Drosophila melanogaster: one gene and its partners. The protein of the gene in region 1 interacts with the protein of each later gene in a pairwise test. Each region holds a gene or a part of one and is shown in the gene's direction. Other genes may lie near its edges.

Region 1 (3,293 bases):
ATTCGGGCGCGCTGAGCGTGGACGAGTTCATGTCGCTGCCGGAGCTGCAACAGAATCCGCTGGTGCAGCGCGTGATCGACATTTTCGACGCGGACGGCAACGGCGAGGTGGACTTCAAGGAGTTCATCCAGGGCGTGTCGCAGTTCAGCGTCAAGGGCGACAAGCTGTCCAAGTTGCGCTTCGCCTTTCGCATCTATGACATGGACAACGATGGTTACATTTCCAATGGCGAACTGTTTCAGGCAAGACCCGCGAACATTACGTTAAGCTCATTCCACTGAAGTGTTTCCCCTCTAAAAGGTTTTAAAGATGATGGTAGGCAATAATCTGAAGGACACGCAACTGCAGCAGATTGTGGACAAGACGATCGGATTCGCGGATAAGGATGAGGATGGCAAGATCTCGTTCGATGAGTTCTGCTCTGTGGTCGGCAACACGGACATTCACAAGAAGATGGTAGTCGATGTCTAAAATAGGTTTAACGCAGATCCTTTTCTACGCGATGTTATTTATTTATTTTATACACGTCGGCATCCTTCGATTGTCACTATCACCACTATTCATATGGTTATTATTTTTGATCGGCGATTCTCTATAGTTAAATATTGTTATGAGCCTTTGGCGAGCCAGTTCAGTTAGTCAGTCAGTCAGTCAGCCAGCCAGCCAGTCAGTCAGTACAGCGATCGAAGGCTTAGGGAGAAATCGCGAATGCAATGTTGTTATCCTAAGTTGAAAAGTGGAATAATGCGCCTCCTACTTACTTCTTAAATATATTCATCTATATACTTATATATAAATGCATATATAGTCATAATTTATTATACAAATATACATTTAAAGAATTCAAAAACCCCAGAAGCAAAACTAAACTTAACTAAGGCGGAATCCAAGTTCGTGCAAGCAAAGGCAAATAAAGCAACCCAAGTTGAACGAATGCTCTATCGAATGCACTTTCGCTCTATCATATTGATGTTATATTTCTAATTCTCCTGTGATTTTGCCAAAAACAAAACAAAAAAAAAAAAAAAAAAACAACAAAACCAATCGAAATGCAACAAATCGAAATATGAAGTGCTTATGATGAGAAAGGACAGATGCGCGGGGCAGCTAAGCAACCTGCCCGAAGGAGGTCTCCTCTATTGACTTAGTCTTATTTACACGTTGTGTACTTTTTATATATTTATACATACCTACTTGTACTAATCGAATGTTATAACCTACGTAACGTATTTTTATATATCTTGACTAACTTGATAACACCAGAGGAAGGCGACGTTTGCCAAGTTTCTTAAGTCTATCTTAACCAATTTCTAACGCCACTTAACTCAAATTAATCAACGATTCTCACGCAGAACGTAGAACGCCTCGAACGTTTTCTAAAATACGCTACATTTTGCAGTTTATAACGCGAGTTAACTGAAAATCGAATAGTTATTATACATCAAAACATACATATGAAGCAATGCCGTGCGGTGATATTGCAGTAACATTTTTTTATACCTAATTATACTAGTTAAAGATGCAAGAAAACCAAATAGTAAAACGCATGTTACAAATTTTACAATTAACAAATTTTTGCACACTCGCCACTCTCAATTCGTTAGCTAATCAATTAAATTCCATTGCATTATTCAAAGTAATCGACTCGAGGTCGTATCTCATTGTAAAATGGTGTAGCCACAAGTTGGGAACCCATCGATAGATAGGCCCGCATGGATTGCCCAGTTAGCTGGCCAGTCGAAGCAATAATAAGCGAATCCTTCAATAAAATTATAATTATACACTAACCAACAAAGGTTTTCTTCAATTGTTGTTGCGCTGGTGGAGGAGCTACAGTACAATATGAGATTAGATAAGGTCTGCGGCAAAAGCTAGCCTGCTCACCCATCACCACCATGAATACTCCCGTCCAGTTTAGTTGTGAAATAATCGGCGGTCTGCAAGTTACTCTGCGATTTTGGAAACATGTGGAAGCTGGACACCAAAGGAGGAATCATCTGCTCGGGCTGCCTGTCCATAGCCTTTGCCATAACCTATCTGGTTTTGATGGACGATTACTTCTGGAAATGTAGGCGCATATACATACCAATCTTGGATATCTTTGCGATGCATAGAGCTATTTCGTTTCAGATGGACTCTACGAGATGGGAATACACATTTCGGCGCTGCAGATCTTGGGAAGCGTGGTCCTCATCGTTGGAGCCATAAAGGTTAGTTAGGCACACTGTGCACAGTCCACAACACTCTTATCTCTTATCTCTTTGCTCTGCTCTTTGCTGCATACAGCAAAAGCACAAGTTCTTCGTGCCGTGGATGATAACCACAGGATTCTTTTTATACCTGATGGTGAACCTGTTCATTTCACTGATAGTCCAGGGCACAGCTTGGATCTTCGGACCATTGATGGTCGTTCCGTTCACAGGTGAGGAGTTAACGCAGCCAGAGATTGGACAGCCAATTAACCAAAATCCTTCACTTTCAGCCTATCTGGGCTGCGCCCTGTACTCGGTGCAGAAGGCCTTCGACAGGATGCGCAAGGAGGAGCCACCGGCATATGCCAGCTTGTCCGACAAGAAGGAGTTCATCAATCACATATAGATACATATATAAGCAATTTCAATACAAACAAAAAAAAGATTAAAGGTAGATCAGATAGCTGGAAAATAAAAGCTCATTTTAAGTGCTATTCAAACGAAACAAACCCACAAGAAATCGGTGTAAATTTAAACTTTTCTAAAGTTTATTACAATTTGCAATGGGAACTATAAACTTTAAGGCAATCACTTTTGTGAACTATTATTTTCAGTGTGCTCTGAAAATATATTTGTTATCTTTTTTCTGCGAAATTTCGTTTCCAGCTCACATCTCTGTTATCTCTGACAAAGGTAATTCTGTTTTTTTTTTACTTTTATCATTTGGCTTTTAGCAAAGCTTGTTTTCTATGATGCACAATTTTATTATCCCTTTTGCGGTGCCTATATATCCCACAAAGGCTTTTATGTATATGCGTTGTATATAAAGCAATGGCTGATTAGATAAGTATTAAAAAAAGCTTTTTAGTAATGGAACAATGGATCATTTGCGAACAAAACGCCCATCGAGGAGTTGGAAATGTGGAAACCGGACTCCAAGGCGGGCATTATTTGCTCCGGGGCTGCATCGATCTGCCTTGCGATCGCCTACCTCATCATATTCGCCAACTTGAGGGGTACTGAACGGGGGTCAAAGTTCAAGAGCCAGCACATCTAATACCAGTTTCCCCGCAGAATTATCCTACGCATTTGGAGTTCACA
Region 2 (8,037 bases), on another chromosome or scaffold:
CTTCCTTTGCCGCAAATTTAAACGAAGTTTCTGAATTCCCCAGCCTCGGCATGCGTAATTCTAGTAAGCATCACGGTATCGCCGCTAGTGCTCAGCGGGAATGGAACGCTAGGAACTTACCGACGCACTCGCGTTTAATTCGGAAGGTTTCAGACAACGACTTCTCCGTAAACGGCGCTGATGGGAAACTTAAAAAATAAGCCACTTTGGTCTATCAATTGGACTAAGAAACAATGATTCCTTATAGATAATTTTCTTATCGCATTAAACTGTACAAATACTATTACTTGTATTTAAAAATAAATTCGTTCAAACGGACAGGGCCAGCATCAAGTATTTATTTATTTTAGTTCTGCTAAATAAATATTTTTAAGACCTAATATGTGGGCAGTAATGAAAGAAAGACATGATATTTTTGATGGCGACAAATTCTAATTAGCTAAGTGGGGCCAAGCTCAAAATAATCTATGTTTATGGTATTCCATGGAAATGCAGTTGTGCCATTAGAAACTGCTCCTATTAAAACCCCTGTTAAATATTGTGCATAAAATTGTTCAACGGGTCATTATAATACAAAGTGCAAAGGCCAAAAAGAGTCGAGTTCATATTCTTACACTTGTAGCTTTTTAAGTGGCTCGACTTGGAGAGGAGTTTTTAGAGTTGCGAGATACAGATGCAATGCTTTGCGGATCTTGCTGAAGCACGAGACGAGTAAAGGCTAAGCTGAGGAGAAGTGCCTGGCCTAGAAGCTCGCGCTGGTAGCGCTCTTGTTGTGAGAATTCGAGGCGTAGGTCAGCGGGAAAGTCGATCTGTTTGTGCAGCTTCAACGGGGGCTCTGTTTCGGGGATCTGATGTTCCACGTTGTAATGGGTTCGCATCATGGCCAATATCGTATCCTCGGACGACACGCGCTCAGTACCCACCATGTGATTAAATAGTCGGGCTGAGAGAAAACGTCGCATGTAGTAGACGTTGTTCGTCTTGTTCTCGTCGCCATCTGATCGGGCCATCAAGGAGAAGCTCATGATTGCGGAAACCTGGGCCTTCTGGATGTTCACGTTCTGTTGATCGATGCTCCCTGGGTTGCTGCTGGCCTGGGCCATTTGTGGACTCTCCATGACGTAGCAATCGGCCACGGGTATCTGGTGAGATACATAGAGGCATCGGCGGGAAAGTTCTGACAAATGCAGCTTCTTGTCGTTCAGCTCATGGTGCTGCCAGTGCGTGAGCAGACAGGGAGCTTCGTTGCTTCCGATCTTTAATCGCGCCCAGCTTACACTGGTCACTCCGATGCGCACCCCTACAGCAGATACAATACGTGAACGCTGTCCCTCGTCCATGGCCGGTGTTATAAAGGGCGCGACTCGTGCAGTCTTTGGTCTATTTTCCCCTACTTGTGCGCTCCCACTGCTCGGCGGCGCAAGCAGACTCTTAAAGAACTTGGTGGTCACCTTCAGTCCGAATCCCTCCACATACAGGATGTCGCTGAGTTCCTGCAGCGGTCCGTGACGGTTCTTCCAGTTTTGCAGCTTGGTTGCCCTTGCCTTGGTTATGTCGTAGCTGGGCGGGATAATCAGTATTTGTGCAAGGCAAAGTGCAGGAGTGGCTACCTACTTGGCTATCTGATTCATGCTGCTTTCATTAATCGTCTTCAAGATCTTCAAACGATCTGCATCCGAGTAGGCGGGCAAGAGGCCGATGGCTTGGTCACATTCCGGCTGACCCGATCTGTGTTGCTGCGTGGACGAAAGTCTTAGGCATTTTGTCGTTACGCCCAACAATGATCGCCGGCACAACATATTTTCCAGTATATGATTTATATTTGTTGTTACTTAATTTGATATCGTCTATACAGCTGTTCGGTTAGTGGGACCAAGCTCATTTTTTCAGTTTTTCTAATTAATCGATATACAATGCTACACCATCGACGGCTACAAACAATTTATAGCAACTAATTGTTAAGTGAAAAAGATGAGAGAAAAGGCATGTATTTCACACAGCAATCATTATACATTTTAGGTAAAACTACAAAGGAAATAATTTATAAATATAATATAAATCACATTATTAATTAATTTTTAAAGAAGAAGAAACTGGAGCAGTCCGTATAGTATGGCTAAAGAAAAATGCTAAAATCGCAGCACTGCACGCTCTCTGTCCTCTCACATTCTCTTTCACTCTCGCTGCGGGAACTCGAAGTTCCAGTCGGAACGTCAACGTCGAGTGGGCAGTCGTACGTCGATTGTTGAGCGGCTGTGGCACATATATAAACAATAAATACAATTCGTAATTTTAATTGAATTAAGACAATAACAACAACGGTTTCTGGGACTCGGTTGCCTTGCCATATGTGACACAAAGCACACACATGCGACCGTAAACTCAGAACTCTGTATTTGCGCGAATGTGGGTGCATAAAAGTGAAATTTCACAGCGACAAGTGGAAAAGAAAACGGAGAAAGGCAGAGCTGTGGCCAAAAGAAAATCCTGGTCATGTCATGCAACAATAACAACAACTATAAAAACAAAACCACGTACGGCTATTCGAACAACAATGATACCAACTGCATCATGCAGAAGCCAGTGCCCGCCTCCACCGCACCCGCCTTCCCTCAGCTGATCCAGGCCAGCTGTTCCAACGCCGTGGAGGTGGATCCACCAGACAGCATTGTGGGGGCTGCCGGCAACTCCGAAGCTCTCTTCGCCGCCCAGCGCACACCGGACACGTCGGAGGACAGCGAATGTGACCCGTTTCTAGCCAGTCGGAGAGCTACCCGCTCCTCCGCCACCACCTCTGTGCTACACAACCGGAAGCGCAACTCGTGTTGGGGACGAGCCCACAGCTTTCTCACCCGCAACTGGTACCTGGGCTGCTTAGTGCCCGCCACCATTCTAGGCGCCCTCGTCTTCATCGGATGGGCGACGCGGGACTATGCTCGCCAATTGCTCTTTTGGATCGAAATGCAGAACGCCTGGATAACATTTGCCGTCTACATGGGGCTCTTCGCTCTTGTCAGCTTCCCCGTGGTGGTGGGCTACTTCGTTCTGCTCATCACCGCCGGTTACCTGTTCGGCTGCCTGCGCGGTTGGGTCACCGTGATCCTGGGCGCCAATATCGGCATAGCCGTGGCCCATGCCACCATTCGCAGCTGCCGGCACCGCATTCCCGTCCAAAGGTGAGTTGCGCGTCTGGTGACACTTCATCGACTTCTTAAAATCATATATTTATGCGTCTTTAGTTTAAAACTGCTTCGATATTCCAGAAACTAATTTGTGCACTTTTACACGTCATAAGCGGCATAAAGCGTAAAATTTAAAAAGCTAAAAATCGAAGCTCCGTTGAAAATACAGAGTTTATTTATCTGTTCGTTGAGTAGTGTTAAATACTACGCATACAAATCCCCAACTGTTGAAAATTAGGTGTACTATCTTCTAAAGTCATGCGCTTTGCTCTTGTAGGTACACTCCGTTGAAAATAATTAATTGTGTCTATGTATCCTTGATAAAGATCTCCAACCGATTCCATTTGTCCGTTTGTCTGTTGTGATTTAACAAACTAATCCGCGCAATTTGGTTTTAAGTCATTGCCGCGATCACAAACGCAGTAACCTGTTCTACACTTCTTAAAAAATATTTCAGTTTTTAAATAATAAATTCATCTCTCCAATAATCAAGAAACAGTGGTCACGCACAAAACGTTAATATTTTTAATACTTTTAAGCGGAAAACTGATCTTTGTATTGACAAGTGCTACAGAGTCCATATGCCCATTTTACGAGTAGTACATATTTAAATTTATTGCGATCAGGGAACCCTATCTTCCATAAGTCTCGCTTTCTTGTATCTAGCCCTTATATTACCCATTGCTCTGTGTGCTTTTTGTATTCTCCAATGCTGCGGTTTCTTCGAAATTTTAAGTATTATGCCTGGCAAGAGGTGCGTCGCGGTTGTTCCGTAGTGGCCCCACCGGATAGGAGTGATGTGCTTCTGGTGCTGCCAACGGTCTGGCCCTCCGAGCTTACCAAGAGGATCCGCCCGCTCTCAGTGCCCGACCTGATCGAGAAGTTCTCCTGCGATGCCCCTGGCGGACAGTTCGCCACAATGTCCGAGTACCTGCGCAGCGATCCACGGCCCGACGGAGTTCTCCTGCCGGATGAAATTGATCTGCACCGAAAAATGTCCCTGGACGACCTTAATTCTTATATGCACGCGAAGGACGCATTCAAAGAGCCGCACAGGAAAAACCGCATATTTTCGCACGTTCTTGTGGTGGCCGGAGCTGACTCAGCTCGGAGTTACCCCTTTCGGCAGAGGCCTGACTTCCTCTATCTTTGCGACTGCTTGAGACCAGGGGCAGCATTGGTTCTCACCCGCAGCCGAAAGCGAAATACTGGCGCGTTGCTCTTTCTTTCCCAGGATGTGGACTCCCAGCTGTCCACCATTTTTAGCCATATGCACTACGTGGACGACGTTCTGCCCCTCGCAATGCTTAAGAAAAGTTTACTCTGGCTGTTAAGGGATCACTCGCCCGAGCTATGGCACTTCTACGACCCATCGAGTCCTGTCAGTTGTATAGTGCAAGAGGTGGCTAATGAAGCCAAGATTCCTATGGGCAATCCCCGATACATCCTCCAGTACACACGCACCGTCAAGACCTCGCGGGAGCTGAGAGCCCTGCGTCGGGCTAACGCCACCGCTGCGGACTCCATGGCGGAGGTAATCGCACAGCATCATCAGATTCCTCAGGAGCTGGCCGCTTCATTTGACTACAAGTGCCGTTTGCGCCACGCTCGTCCCGACGTGACAAAAACTTCGTGCGGATTGGATGGCAATGGGCTGTGGCAGATGGACGCTGGATGTCAGTACGGAGGCTACGAGGGGGGACTGGCCAGATGCTGGCCCAGCTCGGGGCGATTCACGCCGCCCCAGAAAATGATTTATGGTGCGCTGTTGGACATGCGTCGGGATCTGTGCTCGTTGATACAGTACGCAGGATGTGAGGGTGCCGTCCGCACACCTCTGGAACTGCACGCCGCCTATTTAATCCTTCTGGCTCGGCACCTAAGGGAGCTCCGCGTGTTGCCTAAGGGTGTCAGCAGTGCAGCCGAGACAGTGGAGTTGGCTCGCAAGTACAACTGCTCCCCAGTCGTGGTCTCGCACGTGGGTCTGGGAAAGCGAGACACCAGTCGCAGACTCCTTGACTATCCCTTCGCTCCCGGAAACGTGATGTCGCTGCGGCTGTCAATCTCTATTCCCGATGACTGCTGCCAGGCCTACCCCGAGTTCCGGGGCATTCTTTGTCAGCTTGGCGACACCCTGCACGTCCGGGATGATTACTCCGTGGATCTACTTACCGCCGCCTGCCCCAGCGAGCCCCAGGACATAGAAGTCTGTCTACCTGCAAGCCGAACCAGATCGCATAGATTGCGGAATGACGGTGATCAAAGTGGATCTTGTGACACACGACAATTGCAAAGCCACGGTGACGGCGACTGAGCAAATACATTTGCCCAAGGAATATCTGATAAGGGCAGTTATTCCGCAAAATCGATATCGCGTATCCACATCGCCGGTACATATAAATGTGTTGTATGTTTTGTATATAGGTACTAAACGCTCATTTGTCATTAAACCCGTTTGCAATTAAAACCCGCCTCATTGGGTAAATCCCCCTTTAACGCTCAGTCGGTTTTGATCTCCTTATCAGACATTTGTCGCGCCTGATAGCAGCAAGCTTTTAATTTCCGACAATTACTAAACTAGGTTCCAATACCCAGCGGACATAATTAATCAATTACAGAGGCTTATGAATTTTCTTTAAAAATAACACATTTATTTAACATCACATTTACCAAATAGGCACACCTAATTAAAGGTTATTTGTGTGATAGCATGAAATCAATGCCTACCAATTTTTATGAGGGAGCGTAAACTGTTTCATCGACGAACGGTGGAACTGGCTGATAGCCCCAATAATCATTTCCTGATTGTTGGATAAACTCAATTAGAGTCAGTAGTTGGGTGTAATTATGTATATATGTACATATGTATACTTAATAAATTAAGTGATGAGACCCGTTCGATTGCATCTATTTGCAGGCTGATCAAGAATGATACGGGACGAGCCATTCTTCGCGTCATTTCTGGCCCAAAGGCATTTCGAGTCGTTCTCTTTACCCGACTTACCCCCATTCCCTTCGGAGTGCAGAATGTGATATTCGGAGTAAGTGACTAGATTTTGTCAGATCTATTGTTATTCTTGAACTTGTTGTTCAGAAAAGGGCGAGTTCGAAATATCTAGATATTCTCTTATTGTTTGCCAATTTGTCACTTCAAGAATTTTATTTATTAACTTTAAGAATTCGAACGTAAAATTAAATGGAACAAATTGAAAATGGACCAAATATTCGTCACACTGACATGTAAATAAAATTTTGCAAAGCTTTGTGAATCTATATGAATAATTATTTATACTGCAATATTTAAATAGCTAATTATACGAATAATACAGAGACGGTTACGTTGTATACCTAATATATGTGCATATTCGTCAAGTTTCTATGCAGTTAAACTGAACAAAAACCAGTTTTCCTTAAAAATTAGGTGCTAAATCATGGCACGCTTAAACCATTTAGTTTCTATATCACACTATTATTTTCACAGATCAGTTCCATCAACACAAGAGACTACCATGTGGCCACGCTGATTGGTTTGCTGCCAGCCCAAACCATCAATGTTTACTTGGGTTCCACGCTAAGGTCCATGCATGAAGTGCTCAGTGATAACGATACCAAACTGACGGGGTATATCAGCTTCCTGTTTGAGGTATGTTCGCTTTGGATCGCAATTGACCTCTTCTTAGATCATATGCCTAATAGTTTTTGAGTTTGTACATTTGAATTGCTTCATTATTGCTGTTTAATAAGTCCACAAGCTCTTTGTTTAATTATCTTGTTTTATCTTAAGTTATTTAATCCACAATGTGTCTTTTGTGTCTTTAAGGTAATTTGCGGCGTGGCCTTGATGTTCTGGGTATTGCAGAAGGCCAGAAAGGAGCTGTCTGAGACGTTGCTGAGCGCTGATTACAATAACGAGGGCAAGCATCCCGACGTACAAGTTTAACAGGAGCCACTTGGGGAACGGAGTCCTACAGGACCCCCAGCCAAAGAGAATCTCCTGGACTTTAACAGAAGACTGCGTTTTTGCATTACCTAGTTCAAACTAAGGCGGTTTTCGAGTTGTTTTATTTATTTATGCTCAAGGCAATGCCATTGAAACCAAACATTAAGCTAGCCTTAGCAGATACGGATTCAAATCACACTCGTTCCCTAAAACTGTATGAGGGTGTGTCATGCTTCACATCACACATTACTTCTAAGAATTCCTGAGATGTACATTTATAAATAAGTCAAAGCCTCGCTCAAAGACCGCTAGCTCGAAGACTCGATTGTTGGTCATAATGCTGCTCTATAATGTTGTTCAATTATTAGTTTGTAAGCGAATAAGCAAATAAATGAGCTCTAAAGTACAACTTTTCTACATCATCATTGTGCTGTTTCTCCAACTGCGAGGGCTCTTGCTCATATGAAATTTAAACGCTTCCTCCAGTGTCTCCAGGGCAAATTCCACGTCTTCGGCACAAAGACACAGTGGCGGTCTCATGCTCAGCACCTGAAGAGAAGAGGAAACTTCAAATAATGCGAAAATTATTATTATATTAATGACCCTCCGTCCTACAGTGTAGCATCAAAAAATGTAATCTGGAAATTTTACATTTCATGGGATCTTTTTACTGGTCAAGGCCAGGTACTAAATTTAAAACTGAAACAACAATTGTTGTTCTAAAAGATTGTGCTTTAGGAATAACTTGTAAGGTAATTGTCAAATAATGTTCGTGCGCTTAAACTTTTGAAAATCTACATTGGTACCCAATTTTTACACGTTTAATACGTGCTATATATGTAGTGCATACTTTCAGTCATTTTGTATTTAATGCTTATGTTGTGTCAAAATTTTATATGTATATCCTGCTACCAA
Region 3 (3,319 bases), 840 kb from region 1:
TATGCAAAATAGTTACGGAATTTATGAAATCGTTTAATTTTCGATGAAAAAAGTAAAAATTTAATTTAATCAAGGAGCCTACAAAGATTTTAGCATTGAATTCAAGAAGAACAAAAGGTTATACTTTTACAAGTATAACAATCTAAATGCCTATTTGGCATACAAGTTGTTATGCTAATGGCTAAAACCTTTAGTATTTAGCTTATATATCTTAATAAATATAAGATTAACAGGAATGATTGTTTTGATCGTTTAATAAGGACTATTTTCATTGGCACTGATTTCCTCGAAACTTGTTATGGTTGAAGTGAGCTTCTTGCTTTAAATGTCGATTTAAAATAATGTCTGGCAAACAAAATGGTTGTAACTTTGTTGCATGTCGAGTGGATACATGATGACATGATAGCAATGATAGAAGAGATCATGATGGCAAGTACTATAAAAGGGTCTCATCCCACCAGGTGATACTATTGTCATCATGAGAACTCTCATGCTGTTCGTATTTGGCTTTGCTAGTTCCTGGGCCGCAGACTACGAGCTGTTGCTGGAGGACCCTGATATCTTTTCACCCTGCACTGAACCGCCGCCGGGATCGATTGGATTCCACGATGCCTTCGATATTGGCGATCTGGTAGTCGACCAGGACATGGACATCATTCACCTGTCCGAGAGTGTCACCTCAATCTGGGATGTGGAGCCCACAGATCGCATATCCGTAATGCCCGCATTCCTTATACGAAATAAGATTATTAATAAACAATTGCTTTTAAGGCCAGGTTTGCAATAATGCATTACAACCGCGGCAGCTGGGAACCGACTGTATTTAGCATGGCCACGCCGGACTTCTGCGCCTCAATGTTTGATGAGAATCAGTCGTGGTTTAAGTACTGGACCAAACACATTTCGAACCGCGATGAGGTGATGGAGAAGTGTTTTAAAACGCGTGGTGTGAGTTTTCCCTGCAAACAAAACAGTCCATCTCTGGCGCGGTGACTTTAACCTTGGGATTCCATTACAGACCGTTATAATGCACAATCCATTCGATCTGCAGCTGCGTCTAACGGACATTCGTGGTGCAACTCTCAGGGGTCGTTACAAAGCTGTGGTCACCTTTGAGGCGGTCGATGAGAAGGATGTGCCACGCCGTAATTCCATTTGCTTCGAAATCAGGGGAGAGGCCGAGAAGATAAATTAATTAAGGGCTTAATCTGTTCAAGGCGCGATATCAGTAACCTAAAAAACAATATAAACCCAATATCTACATATTTTGAAAATAAAAAGCAATCTTAAAAATATAAATATAAATAAAATATATCAACTATTCTGAACTTGATATATGTACTTGATTTGGTACAAAGTGTGTAACAGGTGACGCGAACCTTTTTTTTCGTTTGATCAACCTTATGCCCGTATGTGATCTCGGGAGCTATAAAAGCTATATTGATAAGATAAGGGATGCAGATTATAGAGAAGTACTTTCAGAAGATTGCCACGCCTACTCTACCACACCCTCTAACGACCAAAAACCGCCCAAAACTGTCACGCCCACACGGATATGTGATCGCCAAGAAAATCTTTGGGGAATTTGTTTTTTGTTTCAAACTTGTTTTTTTTTCTAGCCCAAAAGTTATTATTATTAAAACATCTTGTTTTACAATGTTTAAGCACGAATATTTTCAAGGGTCACATAACGTGATTTGCCAATTATATTGTTAGAGTTTGACAACGTCTGATTAACAGGAGATGGTTGTTACATTGTTGCGTGTTGAATCAATGTACGATGGCATACCATGATTAGATGTCATCATTTTAAAAGGTGTATAAATAAAACATATCAAAAACTCTATTGTGGCAGTGGCTATAAAGGGGTCGGATCTCACAGTTTTCGGTTCTATGGTCATCATGATATTTGTGCTGCTACTCTTATTAGGAGTGACCAGTTCCTGGGCCACAGACTATGAATTATTGCTCGAGGATCCGGACATATTTTCGACGTGCACTGATGGTCCTCCCGGATCCATCAACATCCGCCAGGCACTCAACTTAGACGACATTGTAATCGACCAGAAAGGGGATATACTTCATGTATCCGGGAACGCCACCGTCGTGTGGGATGTGCAGCCCACCGATCGGATTACTGTAACACAAACTGCAAGCTTCGGAATAATCATCGATTCTAATATCAAAACTCTTGCATCCGTGTAGGCGAGACTTGATGTTTTTCACTTCAACCGCGGCACTTGGGAGCCCACTGTCTTTAGCATGGCCACCCAGAACTTTTGCTCCATCATGTACGACAAGAACCAGTATTGGTATAAGTATTGGACAAGGTTTATAACCAATCGCCATGAGGTGGAAAAGAAGTGCTTCAGAGGGCCTGATGTAAGTGGAGTTCAAGCAATTTGACAACCAAATACGGTGGAATATAATAGCATATGGGAATAGTTCTCATATGGGATGCAGATTATTCATATGGTTGTGTGCAAAGGACACTACCATTTTTTATTGCACAATATTTTGAAAATATTCTGATTTCTTACAGACCGTTCTGGTACACGAGCCCTTCGATCTCATACTAAAATTTGAGAATTTTCGTGGACCTCTTCTTAGAGGACGTCATAAACTTGTCATATTGTTTAACGCACTAGATGAGAGGAATATACCGCGCCCAAACCCAATTTGTTTGGAGATCATAGGAGAACCACTAAAGTTGCAGTAGTTGGAACAATAGACTATTTTGTTGAATGTGTATTTTTTTTTTCAATATTGTATAATATTAAACATAGTGTTCTTAATTCCTACATTCAATAACAATTTAAACATTGCATCGTGTTTTAACAGATCTCATAACTTTAGGGGCTTGTTTTACCTTCCATATCCCCAATCAGTTAACTTCTTGATTCGTTTTGTTTTGTGGTTGGTGGCACGCGTTGACGGCAACTTGAGTTCAAGTTGCGGTTTCCATATCGGCTAGCTGCGTGTGGCAAGTACCTTCTCGGGTAACGACGTGCAGACAAAGGAGAACCGTATACTGACTGCATTTTTTTGGGGTCATGACTGCCGTTGCTGGATGGGGAATATGCAAATACAATTGTCGGTTATTGGATTACCCGATGATGATTGGCATAAGTTCCGATCGATTCAAATCGCAGCAATCGATTTGTCAATTTGCAAAGCTCTTGCCAATTCACGGAAAATGTTTCTTACAGATTTGCGAAAACTTTTAAACGGCAGGGAGGTAAGCCTCGGAACACTTTCATTTCATATTCCCGGCGAATAATTTTCTACTTTCTAAACCGAAGAGCCAGAAACAAAGACC
Region 4 (3,041 bases), on another chromosome or scaffold:
TTCTGGGGTCCAGTCGGGACCAGTATTCCACATCGCATTAACCATATGGTTGGGAAGAGCGCACACTGCACTTGGCTTCTAAATTGGGTAAATATGCATTGCGTATACGTATTGTTGCGCCTGCTATTTGCATCTTGCAATGATGCATTCGTTAGCTGAGTGCAGCGAAATTCAGTGTTTCTCCCAGATATGATAAAAAACTTCATACGACATTGATTCGCAAAAGAGAAGTTTGCAATAGCTTGAATATTTTGCAAGAACTCCGAATTCTGTTTCTGCTATAATGCAATATGATTATAATAAAGTACAATAACAATCTTATGTTTGATTCCGCTTTGTCTAAAGGCGAGCAAACCGAATATAAAGCAGTGGAAAACCACAGTAAACTTTTCAAGAGAAGACGCTTACAGTGCAAGGAAAAGGTATCTTTTCAATAAGGATTTGTACGTTATTCATCAATCGATACAATTTAAAGGGTGTAATTATAGGACTTTACACAGAAATTAAACAATAGTCACATCATCAAAACCAAAAAGTTAAAGTTTTTAAGTAAATATTTCATTTTCGTCGTATATGACAATATTCAAATATTTTAAAATGGAACAAGTCGAACGAAAGCATTTCCTAACCAGCTCACGTACTTAGACAAACACCTGTATTAAACAATGGACATAAAATCAGGACTTGCGGAGAAAAAAATAAGGTAAGGGGAGAAAGTTTCGAATAGCAGGATTTCTTGTGCCAACTTCACCGCCGTAAGAGAATACACCACATGGCCAACACGTTTCGCATTGATGTTGAAATTGTTACTCGGTTACTCCGCTTGTGTTGGCCCTTTTTTCGCTCAGTTGAGCTCACATTTTATGGTCAAGTTGCATTCTGTTTCATTTATATTTCATGTGTGGTTTTTATTTTCCGTTTCCTCTGGGCAAGACGATTTCACATTTTACTTTTCCTATTAATGTCAATTTAAATGTTCCAACACTTTAGTTGCTTGCAGAGAATCACCCAAGGGTGTTTACTGCCGTTGTCCGACTGAGATATTGTTTGCACAAAAGCACTTAAAGACTGCATTACTCCTCCTAGATAATCGCTCGGAAAATAGTTGAATTCCCTTTTCCGCTCGAGTCCAGTTCCGCAGTCATTTGTGGCAATTTGCGTGCTCATTGTTAATTTGATTCTCGGCTAGCGATAAACGAAAAACACCTCGACAGCTCCTGGGGCCTCAGCTATTTGGATTGGGCGTGGCTGGGCGCATAATTGAACGATAAATTAAATAAGAGCACTGGTGAGACTAAGCCCCAAAACGCATTCAATCGTTAAAGCCCGTTGCCGTTTCGGGGGTCCCAGGCAATTGAACTGTAAACTCGAACTCAGCCAACTATACCTTCAGCTGAATAGCTGGTAGCTGACAAGGCAATGAATCACTGAAAAATAAGTATTTAACAGCGATTTTAAAGTTTACGTTATGAAGTAGCTATTCAATTCTTGTACTGAGATAAAAGCAATATATTTAAAAATTATTTAAAACTGTTCCGCCTGCTTAAATCCATCATAAATTAGTGAAAAGTGACTATCGCATTACTGAGTAACCATGAAAAGTTTAATGTAAATATGTGTGGGTTGAGATTGTGTGCAGGAATGATTTGCCAGAGTTTATGACTAATTAAAAACTTTTAAAATGTGCTTTTACACCAAATTTAAGGCCATTTAATGTAAGGGTCGTCGTTTACGTAATGCCACCCCAATCTTTCATGGGCGCATTCGAACTTTGATGTTTTTGTCGGCTTAGACGTTCACGGTCTGGCGGACATTTGCCCAGTTGAGCGCAGCTGGGGAGTGTGAGAAGCGCATAGAAGGGCGCAAATCAAAGCGACAGTTGTGGCATGCTGTGAGCAACCTTTCACCATAGCTCACCCAAATTGAATGTAAAAGCACAGCATCAGGTAGAGAAGGAAGACGCAAAAACAGCTGAAATGAGTGACTTACCAGTGGTGAAGAGCAGTACGTATGTCGAATCAGCGCAGCACATCGGGCACCTGCTCTAATACCCAATCCTAGCCATGAATAGCCTTAGCCAGAGGTCGCCGTACAGCCAGATCGGGATGGGAGCTGCCGGTGGTTTTCTCACCGGCTTCGTGCTCCTCAAGGCGAGTAAGATTATGGCCGTGGCCGCTGGCGGTACCATTCTGGCGCTCGAGCTGGCATGGCAGGCGGGACTGGTCCAGCTGGATGTGCTCAAGACATTCTCACAGCTGGAACAGGATCAGTCCCGGGGGCAGCTAGAGGTCAGAGAAATATCCCTGGAGCCAGTGAATCTTAACCGCGTTCAGGAACTTGGGGATAAAGCCAGGAAGGCGTGTGCAACCAGCGGTCGTCTATGTGTGGCCTTCTTGGGCGGCTTTCTACTCGGCTTTGGATGGGCTTAAGTAATACAAATTATGATCGCAAACACACATATACACAATATTTAAGTTGATGTAAACGAAAGTTTTCACCTGTAGTGGCCTGCGGGAATACTTTTTTGCAGTTTTTGGGTGCCGGCACGCAGGGAAAGTTTCCATAACAAAAGCTTTGAACATTTTATAGAAATTCTCTTAACAAATAGCCAAGCCTCTCTTTACCGCACTCACAGACACACACACACACACACCTACATACTGTAACGTGCATTTAAAGTTTGTGCTCCGCATAAAAAGGGACCCAGCAAAAACTTCAAACTTGTAACAACATTTTCATGCGCTTTTAAGCATTTCAATTTTCCCCGCTTGCTGGTAGAAAATTTATGCATAAGCAAAGTTTTTCATAACCAAGGCAATAGCTTAGCAATGTGAAAGTGAGAGAAGTAGGTGTAGGTGTGTCCGATTTCATATGCATTGCGCGACTCGAAAAATATGTGATTAGCAAGCTAGAATCATATGCAAAAAAAATTGGAAAAAGAAAATAAACATTGACAGTTTTTCCAAGTTTATATGTGTGTATAGAAGGCCGGTCTCCAAATCAATTAAAATCATCCCTTGCGCCAGCACCGAGTGAGAATA

The links.
Region 2: the proteins of CG12825 (region 1) and CG11367 interact in a two-hybrid assay, tested with the Drosophila melanogaster proteins (one large-scale study listed by BioGRID).
Region 3: the proteins of CG12825 (region 1) and CheB42b interact in a two-hybrid assay, tested with the Drosophila melanogaster proteins (one large-scale study listed by BioGRID).
Region 4: the proteins of CG12825 (region 1) and CG12511 interact in a two-hybrid assay, tested with the Drosophila melanogaster proteins (one large-scale study listed by BioGRID).

Annotation. Positions count from the first base shown.
Region 1 is NT_033778.4:7,787,291-7,790,583, forward strand, and holds CG12825 (uncharacterized protein), read left to right. Parts: upstream 1-1,915; 5' UTR 1,916-1,965; coding exon 1,966-2,068; intron 2,069-2,130; coding exon 2,131-2,210; intron 2,211-2,286; coding exon 2,287-2,422; intron 2,423-2,482; coding exon 2,483-2,598; 3' UTR 2,599-2,698; downstream 2,699-3,293. Other genes in the region: CanB2 (calcineurin B2), read left to right, coding at 1-242, 301-471; CG12824 (uncharacterized protein), read left to right, coding at 3,112-3,208, 3,267-3,293.
Region 2 is NT_037436.4:22,725,918-22,733,954, forward strand, and holds CG11367 (uncharacterized protein), read left to right. Parts: upstream 1-2,193; 5' UTR 2,194-2,493; coding exon 2,494-3,176; intron 3,177-3,848; exon of another isoform or gene 3,849-3,891; coding exon of another isoform or gene 3,892-5,496; exon of another isoform or gene 5,497-5,683; intron 5,684-6,095; exon of another isoform or gene 6,096-6,099; coding exon 6,100-6,223; exon of another isoform or gene 6,224-6,663; coding exon 6,664-6,825; exon of another isoform or gene 6,826-7,002; coding exon 7,003-7,122; 3' UTR 7,123-7,529; downstream 7,530-8,037. Other genes in the region: mael (maelstrom), read left to right, coding at 1-200; CG14450 (uncharacterized protein), read right to left, coding at 627-1,560, 1,615-1,799; CG32454 (uncharacterized protein), read left to right, coding at 3,892-5,496; CG11241 (uncharacterized protein), read right to left, coding at 7,537-7,671.
Region 3 is NT_033778.4:6,942,570-6,945,888, reverse strand, and holds CheB42b (chemosensory protein B 42b), read left to right. Parts: upstream 1-1,893; 5' UTR 1,894-1,902; coding exon 1,903-2,139; intron 2,140-2,205; coding exon 2,206-2,382; intron 2,383-2,542; coding exon 2,543-2,719; 3' UTR 2,720-2,793; downstream 2,794-3,319. Other genes in the region: CheB42c (chemosensory protein B 42c), read left to right, coding at 479-715, 772-948, 1,019-1,195.
Region 4 is NT_033779.5:5,676,722-5,679,762, forward strand, and holds CG12511 (uncharacterized protein), read left to right. Parts: upstream 1-1,860; 5' UTR 1,861-1,976; coding exon 1,977-2,004; exon of another isoform or gene 2,005-2,061; coding exon 2,062-2,429; 3' UTR 2,430-2,502; downstream 2,503-3,041.